Arabidopsis thaliana: one gene and its partner. The protein of the gene in region 1 interacts with the protein of each later gene in a pairwise test. Each region holds a gene or a part of one and is shown on either strand. Other genes may lie near its edges.

Evidence for each region.
Region 2: the proteins of ULT2 (region 1) and AT5G58620 interact in a two-hybrid assay, tested with the Arabidopsis thaliana proteins (one large-scale study listed by BioGRID).

The regions. Positions count from the first base shown.
Region 1 is NC_003071.7:8,964,806-8,969,319, reverse strand, and holds ULT2 (Developmental regulator, ULTRAPETALA), read left to right. Parts: upstream 1-2,076; 5' UTR 2,077-2,524; coding exon 2,525-2,726; intron 2,727-2,990; coding exon 2,991-3,475; 3' UTR 3,476-3,764; downstream 3,765-4,514. Other genes in the region: AT2G20830 (folic acid binding / transferase), read left to right, coding at 439-950; AT2G20820 (uncharacterized protein), read right to left, coding at 4,083-4,177, 4,265-4,298, 4,441-4,511. UniProt on the Arabidopsis thaliana protein: Putative transcription factor that acts as a key negative regulator of cell accumulation in shoot and floral meristems. Negatively regulates the size of the WUSCHEL (WUS)-expressing organizing center in inflorescence meristems.
Region 2 is NC_003076.8:23,691,257-23,696,758, reverse strand, and holds AT5G58620 (zinc finger (CCCH-type) family protein), read right to left. Parts: upstream 3,501-5,502; 5' UTR 3,227-3,500; intron 2,843-3,226; 5' UTR 2,801-2,842; coding exon 977-2,800; 3' UTR 619-976; downstream 1-618. Other genes in the region: TRM31 (uncharacterized protein), read left to right, coding at 1-231, 308-618.

The DNA.
Region 1 (4,514 bases):
CTGTTGATGTGTACTTTGTGATAAGCCATTGAACATGGAAGTCTATGAGCAATGCTCTGCTCTTATAAAAATGACTAGCCATAGAACATGAAGTTTGTAGCAATGCTCTGCTCTCTGCTGTTATCAAGATAAGAACAGAGCATTGTTTGTCTGCTGTACTTTGTGATAGGCAGAGTGATGTTCTGTTTTTACTATCTCATTATCTCTAGGCCATAGAATATGGAAGTCTTTGTAGCAATGATCTGCTCTCTGCTCTTATCAAGATAAGAACAGAGTATTGCTTGTATGGTGTAGTTGTTGTGTACGTTGTAATAGGCAAAGTGATGCCCTGTGTTTAAAATCTCATCTTCGTCTAGGCCATAGAACTTGGAAGTCTTTGTAGCAATCTCTATATTGATATGTGGACTGGACTGAGATATATGACCCACCTTGGTGCAGTTCCTACATATCTCTATGGAGCAGCAGAAAAGGAGCAGTGCACCCTGGATTCGATCAGAAGAAAGCTGGGGTACTTCAAGGCAAACAGGGAGGGACATGAATGGGCAGGTGGGTTTGACCTGGAGATGGTGCCACTGAAGCCAGACGCAGGGCCACAAGAGGTGAGCAAAGCCAAAGGGGTTGTAGCGGTTGGGGCGTGTGGGTGGGTAAGTAACTATAACGTGCCTGTCATGTCAAACGATCTCAAGGCAGTGAGGAGAATAGCGAGGAAGACGAGCGAGAGAGGAGGGGGCTTGGCTTCAGTGCAGACAATGGCGCTGGTGCACGGGGAAGGAGTCATAGAGGTTGCCTGTAACTTGTTGAATCCAAGCCAAGTGGGGGGAGATGAAGTACAGGGACTGATCGAGAGGCTTGGCAGAGAGGAAGGTCTGCTTGTGGGAAAAGGGTATTATACGGACTATACACCTGACCAGATCGTTGAAAGATATATGGACTTGCTCAACAATTCATAAATTTCAAAGTAAAAAAAGTAAAAACAGTATGATGTTGTCATTCTTAGAACGTATTATTACCGACATCGATCATTTATCTTCATTTTGTGTTTAGATGTGATATACATTGCCATGAGTGACAATTGAAATTAGCAAAGATTAAATAAAAAGTGAAATGATAAAATGATGGTACGTTCATTGAGAGGCCAAAACATCAGATCTCATCATTGGTGTTTTTCCTCAACAACTGTGAGAGATTTGTTTTGTGTAGCCTCGTCTTTTGCCGTGGTTCTTAAAGCTGTTGTTTTCTTAGCATTTTGCCTTGTTTTGCATATATCTATATGGCAATGCATGCAAGTCATTAACTAATGTATAGTGAACTATTGGTAGCATCGTGACCATGTGGTAATTAACAATCTTTGTCCTTCAAATTTATATATATGGAGGTTGTGGTCTATATGATTTGTTAAAGTGAAAAGACAACTGGTTTTCTATTAATTTGGTCGTAGGTGAAATTCGAGGGTCAAAAGTCTCTAAAAACAACGTGGATGAGGTGGAGTTTGGTGCGGCTCGTTATTGACTTGAGTTCTTCTTGGTCATTTTTTTGGGTTTGCAACAAGGGGAAGGAGGTTAAAAGAACATTTATCTTTTTCTGTTTTATCACTAATTATTGTGTTGTTTTATTTGATATAATCAATCAATAGGTTAAAAGAACAAGAATAAATTAAAAAATTCGTCAAAAACATCAAAACGAGAACTAATTTGAAACACAATTTAACTTCTAAACGACAACTAATTTGAAACGGAAGGAGTATACGTTACATTTAGACAAAAAAAATGTAATTTATGACATGCCTACACACATTGACGTAGACAATTAAAGGTTAGGTGTGTCCTTGTATATGTGTATACATGTACATACATATGTATGGGCACATTGGAGTTGGGCCGCAATGGAGAATAAGGACCAGATGCGACTATCATACACCTAACTCTTAAGAAAAAAAGCATTATTTGTGTACATAAATGGTAGACCCATGAAACCTGTAGAGCTCAAAAGTCACAAGTAAAAGAGAGAAAAGAAAGAAGAGAAGAGGTAATTACATGTGGGTTTAGAGAACAACTTTACTTAATCTCTTCTCTTTTATCATCAACCAACCATATATGGACAATTACAAGAACACATCTATGTATGAACGTTAACGTAGATAATATTATAAAATATTATTCTAAAAATTAAAAGATTCACAATTCCCATGCCTCACGACTTGTATTTTTCTTTGGCCACCTAATTTGCATCCATCATCTCTCTGTCTCTATAGAGAGTTTCTTTCAAATCCCCTAAAACCTAGAAAAACACCAAAGTCTCTCTCTCTTTTTGTTTTACTCCAAAAGCCTTTTACCTTTGAGATTTTTCTATATAATTGTCAGATCCTTCGTTACTACTGATGCTAGCTCCTTTAGGGCTTTTTCTCGTTTACTCATGTCAAATTACCTTCTTGTCCCTTGGTGTTTAGGGCTCTGATCCTATATAATAATACTTCATAGGAAGGAGAAGGAGCCCTTCGTCGTGGTTTACTTGGTCCCGATCGGAGATGGAGAGAGAATGTGGGTCGAAGGAGTTGTTCAGCAAAGAGGAGCTACAAGAAATAAGTGGAGTCCATGTGGGAGACGATTACGTCGAGGTCATGTGTGGCTGCACCAGCCACCGTTACGGAGACGCCGTTGCGAGGCTTAAGATATTTTCAGATGGAGAACTTCAAATCACCTGCCAATGCACTCCTGCTTGTCTCGAAGGTTCCTCTTCTTCTCTCTCACATCTTTCTATATGCATGTTCCATGTGAATGTGTATGGATTCATGATAGTGTCAAGAATGCAATGTAACTGTTCTTTGGCCTCGGTGAACTATGAGGCTGCTTGTATTTGCTAGATGTGATATGTTTCATGCAGTCTTTTAGAGTGTGGGATAACCTTACATTGTAATGTATCTCCATTTTATATCACAAGTTCGAGTTTCTTTCAAAGTGATCTGATTGACAGCTTTCATTCTATGATGGTAGACAAGTTGACGCCTGCTGCCTTCGAGAAGCATTCTGAGAGAGAAACCTCTAGAAACTGGAGGAACAATGTTTGGGTGTTCATTGAAGGAGACAAGGTTCCGCTTTCAAAGACAGTGTTGCTCAGATACTACAACAAAGCATTGAAGAACTCTAACGTATCGAAAGTCATTCATCGGGATGAGTTTGTTGGGTGCAGCACATGCGGGAAGGAGAGGAGGTTCAGATTGAGGAGCAGAGGGGAATGCCGGATGCACCATGATGCAATTGCTGAGCCTAATTGGAAGTGTTGCGATTACCCATACGACAAGATAACATGCGAGGAGGAGGAAGAAAGAGGGAGCAGGAAAGTGTTCAGAGGTTGCACTCGCTCACCGTCCTGCAAAGGCTGCACTTCTTGCGTCTGCTTCGGCTGCAAGCTCTGCCGTTTCTCTGATTGTAACTGCCAGACTTGCCTCGATTTCACCACCAATGCCAAACCCATTTGACTTCATTTCTCTAACTTATTTAATTCTTCTGCAAAAACTTGTAATGTATGCTCTGCATTTTCTTTAATCAGTAGCTTGTTACACCTGTTATGCGAGTGGAGAGACCAAGTAGGGATCACATACTGGAAAAAAAACCGACTTGGGGCTTGGAAAACTAACTTAGCACCACTACGAGGACATGAATCTAATCTAAATTCAACCATATAACCTCGGCAAATACACACAAGGCAGGAGATCGATAACAAGAAGCAAGCAGTGACTGTAATAGTATGCTGAATAAACTATGTCAAGAATAAAAGCATGAGACAAGAGCAGCTACAAACATTTGGATTAGCCAATATGTACTTGGAAGGTGGACGACATACATGGAGAAATACCTCCAACAAAAATTGGTATCCAAACCAGACAAATAGAATGGAAGGAAATAGCTCGAAAGCATATATCAACATACGTAGTGAGACAATGATTTGCTTAAATCCTGTCTGTTTCAAACATAGGATATTATGAAACACAAAACTGTCAAGAATTTATCCATTGCAGACATCATCAGATCTCAAAAGTGATGCAAATTATTTTCAAAATGAAACACAAGACCAGTCACAATCTGCTAAAAGGGAAAACAAAGTGCATGAGAATGAGAGGTCTCTCCATAAAAGGTCTTCCTGGTGACAATGAAACTCATTGTGTACTCTCCACAGGCGTCTGCAAAAAAAACTATGTATAAGGGAAGGAACCCGAAGCCTCTAGGCAATGGAAGAAGAGCAAGAGCTGAAGAGCAAGAGTAAGTACCTCTTTTTTTCCCCCAGTGGCGAGCTTGTATCCACTGTAGAAAAGTAAGCCCCAGCCAGACAGAGAAATAAGCACAAACTGCAGATTGGTCAGGTAACAGAAGGAATCAATTCAACAAAAAATCACAGCTTTCATTAACAAAAACACAGTGTCACAAACACATGATTGATACATACATGCTCCTCTTTCCAGTTTCCTGGGTTCGTGGGCTGTTTCCAGAAGTCAACCTTGGTAGATCCATGGTGATCTG
Region 2 (5,502 bases), on another chromosome or scaffold:
AGGAGAAACGTAAGAGCAGAAGAAAACGAAAAGAAACTAAGTTGAGACAGAACATCGAGAAGGAGAATTGGGTCCAAAGTAATGGTTGTTGGTCCAAAGAAGAAGATTTAGTAAATTGTGAAGTGAGATCAACAAAAGAAGAAGAAGAGTGTGGAAGCTGCGATGATTCGAGCCCTGTCTCGGTTCTTGATTATGACCGGTATGCTGGTGTTCGAGTAACTCCATCACCAGGTTGGTAATTCTTCAGTATTGAAAATTGAAATGTCCTTTCTTGTGTTATTAAAGCATACTTGTTTCCTTGTAACAGGAAACATTTCAAGAAGACGGTTGTCTTCAGAACTTGAATCTAGTAAGCTCAATGAAACGATTGAACAAGATCACATCACATTGACAAGTAGATCAAAAGACCAAGAAATCCGACTTCATGGCTACCAAGAGATGTGGCTCATGATCTGCAAACTCACTGTATCTGACCTTGAAGGTTCAGATTGGTTTAACGGAAAAGCTTTAAAGCTCGAAGATATAGAAGGAATCATAAGCGAAGATATAGTCTCAAACATCTTAGATCAACTCTTAGAAGAAACAATTACAACACTTTCCCTAACTTCACAAGTGTAAATACATTTCTGTATTCCAATTATATTATTACTAAAAAACATATATATTCAGCGTGAGAGTGTTACCAAGAAAAAAAAAAATCGATTACTCATTGTGAATAGTAAAGAATCAAGGAAGTGAGGTGAGGTAATTCAAGGTTTCTTAGGTTTTGAAACCTTTTTTCACCTCTGTTTTTCTTTGGAGACAGAGAGAGAGACAAACGAACTCTCTTTTGTCCCCTAAGAATTTTTTCTTTTTATTCTAAAGAAAAATAACAAAGCATTAAACAAATAAAATGAAATAGATTAGCATCGACCTCTCGGAATCTTTCTGACTTTGCTTCTTGTGGAACGGTTAATGAAAGTTCAAAACTTTTGATTCAAGCCACGGTCTGTTCTGTCTCCATGTATGATTGCTCCATCCAAACCGGAGCTAGTCTTGTCTCCTGTGGCTCTTTCACCAGCGGCTCCACCCATGAGACATCTGGCTCTTCGAGCCCAGTCCCTTCGTTAGGCAGTCTTGATTCCATGCCACCGGCTCTGAGACGGAAAGAAGTGGATTTTCTGAGCTTCTGTAGCTCGTCTCCTTGGACGCTCCAGTCAAGCTTCCCATCCAATGAGCCCCAATCGTTTAAACAAGTTGTAGTCATGGAAGAGATTGCGGGATGGTGATTCAGTCCGTTGTTGCGTTCTATGAAGCTTTGGCTTCGCTGTTTAGCAAATTCAGCCGCTCTTGAAGCCAAGACTGCGGAGGAATCCATCGAAAACAGAGAATTGGCTCCCACAGGTGATGAAGAAAGACTGTTGGAATGCAGCTGCGGGTTAATGACGCTGCGTCGGATCTGCAAACCCGATGTATTATCCTCTGTCCCAAACATATCACTGAGACTATTCACCGGGCTCATTGCTCCTCCTGCAAGCCTGTTCATGCCCTTTCCGGAGAATGGAGATGACATTGGCGTGTTGTTCCATGTAGTTGGAGAAGTAAGACTTTGCATCTCTTCAGAGAAATCGATTTCTCTTGCATTCAATGCAGATTTCAATCTGCTCCCTGGAAGCTGCAATGCAGGAGGGGTTATGTTAGGCCAGTTCATCCACGTTTTTCCTCCACCTATTGGAGAGGATACACCGTTAGGACTCAAAGGAGGTGTGGTTGTTGCTCCGATAGGAAGCGGACTAATCGGTCCCATGTCGAAAGCGGTCGAGGAATTGCAAGATGAGAAGGAAGACCGCGGGGACGGAACACCTGATCCAGTTGAAGGGTACAAAGGACGCAGCTCCTCGGGTTTGTGGGCAAAGAAACAAACTCTTCTCGAGCAATTCGTCTCGTCCTTGCAGAGACGAGTCCGGTACTGAGCCGGGTGAAGCCAGCACTCAAAGATACCATGAGCATACTCGCAAGTATCACCTCTGGAACAAGACCCCTTCCGGAATTCAGGACAAGGGACACAACTATAATGGTACTTCCTCGGATCACGCCTCCTTGCGTTCTCACCCGGATGAACAAAGGGACATTCCGTCCAGTCGTGAGAGTATGCTCTAGAGCACGGCTTGATCTTGAAAGCATACATCCGGAACTCATCCGTCCCATATACACCGTTCTTGATATCAGGAAGCGTTGGATCAACCGGATACTCCTTCCTCTCAGACCCCCGAGGAGGCGAAACCTCAACCTCAACCTCAACCTCTGGCTCGCTTTCTTCTTGCCCATTAACTTCATTCAAATCATCATTTCCTTTCAACAAACGCTCCAAAACCTTCATCCTCGCGCTAAAAACCGGACTCAAACAAGGGAAAATCACATCTCCAGGCTTGTTACCATAAGCATCACAAGAATCCGGATTCGCAGAGCCCTTCAGCAGAAGAGTAACAATCTCAAGGCTATTGGCAGACAAGCCAGAGACCGCACAGTGAAGAGCCGTGGCACCATCAGAGCCACAAGAGCGGTTCACGTCAACAAGACCAGTACTAATGATGTAATCAACAACCTCTTTGCTTCCAAACAAGGCAGCAATCATAAGAGGCGTCCTCTCCTCAAAACCCATCTTCTTTGATCCTAATCTCCTCCCATACCACAAACCAGAGCCATCAATGCTCTCAAGACCTTCTTCTTCAACTAGAGACTTAAAACCGGACAAATCATTGCAGGCTGATGATTCTAGCAGAAGAGAGAATTTGAGGTGAGACAGCTCATCAACTCCCATGGCAAAAAAAAGCAACAATCTTTTCCCGCTCTATTGATTTCACTGCAAAAAAAATTGCAGAACAAATTGAAAAGGATGAATCTTTTTTCTTCTGATTAAAATGGTAATATACATAGAACAAAATCATACAAAACAGAAATAAAAACTGCAGAAACGATTAAGCTAAGGAGAGAAGGAAGAGTTTGTTAGTTTGGGATACAAAGTTTCCAACTTTAAAACAAACCAAACCAAAAATAAACACCAACAGATCCATAATTAACCACTTTTGCAACATCGAAAACTAATCATATTGTTAACTCATTTTCCAATCAGCAAAACAATTAAAAACAAACTGCAAACTCTAAAACAAATCGACATATATGGATTCAACTGAAACTAAATTAGTGACTAATCAAATCAAAGAAACAAAGAGTAAAGATTTTCTACCTCTGAGTCACAGAGACAAACTCTCTCTTTTCTCGACCACCACTACCAAAAAACCGCTCTTCACTTCCTTTAAACGAGTACTCAATTAGTCAATTTATTGAAAAAACAAATCCGAATTTTTTTTCTTCTTCCTCAAATTATGTTTTTTTTCTTCTTCTTCCTCTCCTTGTCACTTTCTTCTTAAGGTCAAAATAATAGAAGTTTTTAAAAAAATGAAGAAGCTTACTCTAAATAATAAAACAAAACCACCATCTCCATCATTCTTCTTCTACTTCTCTCTCGTCTTTTTTATTTCTATTTATTTATTTTACTTTCAATTTTAATTTGTAAAGTCTGAAGGAAATGAAGGTGTACGTTAGACTTCACACAGAGGATCTTCGCTCATCGGTTTTGTCACGCTTCACGCGTTTTTCCGGTTTTTGGTGGGATGACGTGGAAACCATGCATCGTCAGCATGTTTTTAAAATGAGCTACTTACTTTTCTTCTCCATTCACGAGCTAAAGATAAAACCACTGCCTGTTACCTAGAGTTATATAACCAATTAACCATAGCTTTTTAATTGGTTTGTCACCGCCCCAGAATAATCTCAACATGCACCAAAACACAGAATCGGAACCGTCTCGAGTGGGTTTCGCTTGATAGCAACTCTCTTTTGTCATAGCTTTGATTTGAGTTATATTCATCAAAATTAATTATCATAAAGTTTAAAGATAATTGAGATAATTATTATAAAGTCGAGAAATTGACGTTTATGTTCAGTTTTTTTCGGTCGACAATTCCAACAAAAAGACGATTAGGTAATACAAATATCCTAAGAGACTAAAATAATGTGTATTTAAATTCGGTAATGGAAAGAATTCGAACAAACCTTACCAAACTTTGTATTTTCTGTCGCTATGCTTGTATTATTATATTAAAAGATAGTGATTCGTGATCCATGACAATGTTGTACTACTATATAAAAGTAGTCATAAATTGCAAATGTATAATAATATTTTTTTGAAAACGACTACTGTTTTGTATTGCAACCAGACCAAATCCAAATGCATGCAACCGAACCCATCAATGCTTTTTGCAGCGGCATTAACGAAGCTGCTCCACTGGCTCTCTCTCACATCATAACACAAAGCCATTTATTTTCTCTTCTTCTAATTTACAGTTCTAATAAATAAGTAAAGTCATAATATTAATATGATAGTGCAAATACTGTATATATACACGACAAATTATTAATTTTTAGATAATTATATCCTGTTTCTTAACATAAACACTGTTGATTCCCAATGTCAAATCAATATTTAAAAATTTGTTATAAGTCAGTCACTCAAAAGACAATGGTATGAAAAATGCTGAAAACAGACGGTCAAGATCTTGTATTCACGATGAGATATATTGTTAGGTTAATTTTGATATAAAGCGAAATAAAAAGGGAAAAAAGGTAGAAAAGTCTAAGTGTACAATTAGGAAAAGGACCCACAAGAATCCATAATCTGACTAGAATGAATGGAATAAGAAGCATGTGGGACCAACTGAAAGCGACTAAGCATTGCTATTTGCTATTTTATCAGCCGACGTCGCTGCGACAAAACCCCAAATGGCAGAGCCTTATTGGACAGACCATATTGACTTTTATGGTCCTAAATGCAGTGAATTATCTCTCTTCGACTTGGCGCCAAGCACTTCTGGGCCAGAAATACCGATGCGGGGCTATACGAGGATAATGATCTGTTTCAAAGCCCATAATTAAAGACCTAGGTTTGGCCCATTAGTCTATCTTCTTGATTTAAAAGAAGGAAGCCAATTTCTTCTTCATGGACGTAAATAAAAAGAACTGGTAACTAATGAGATAGTATCTTACTATCTTCACAAGTAAAAGTCATATGGTGAATCCGAAGAAAGAATGTCGTATTCATGAGCTATATCTGAGAAGAGTGAAAAACAGAGTCAAAGTCAAAGAGTGATGAGCAAGCTTTAATAGTACGAAAGTAGAAGAAATAAAGAAATAAGAGGGTGAAATGGGTAAATTTTGGATTTTTAATTAGGAAATAGTGCAAATTGACCAAAATTAAAAATCTCCACTCTTTTCGCGTGTATCAACCAAAAAACAACATCAATGTCCTTTAGTTTTAATTAATCTCGCTGTTTAATTGGGATTAGACTAAAAAAGTTGCAGAGACTAGTACAGCGTTACTTGGGGAGAAAGCTGCTACTCACACAAGTACCTCCCAAATCTCTTCTCTTACCCACAAAAATCTTCTCTTCAATATTCTCCAAG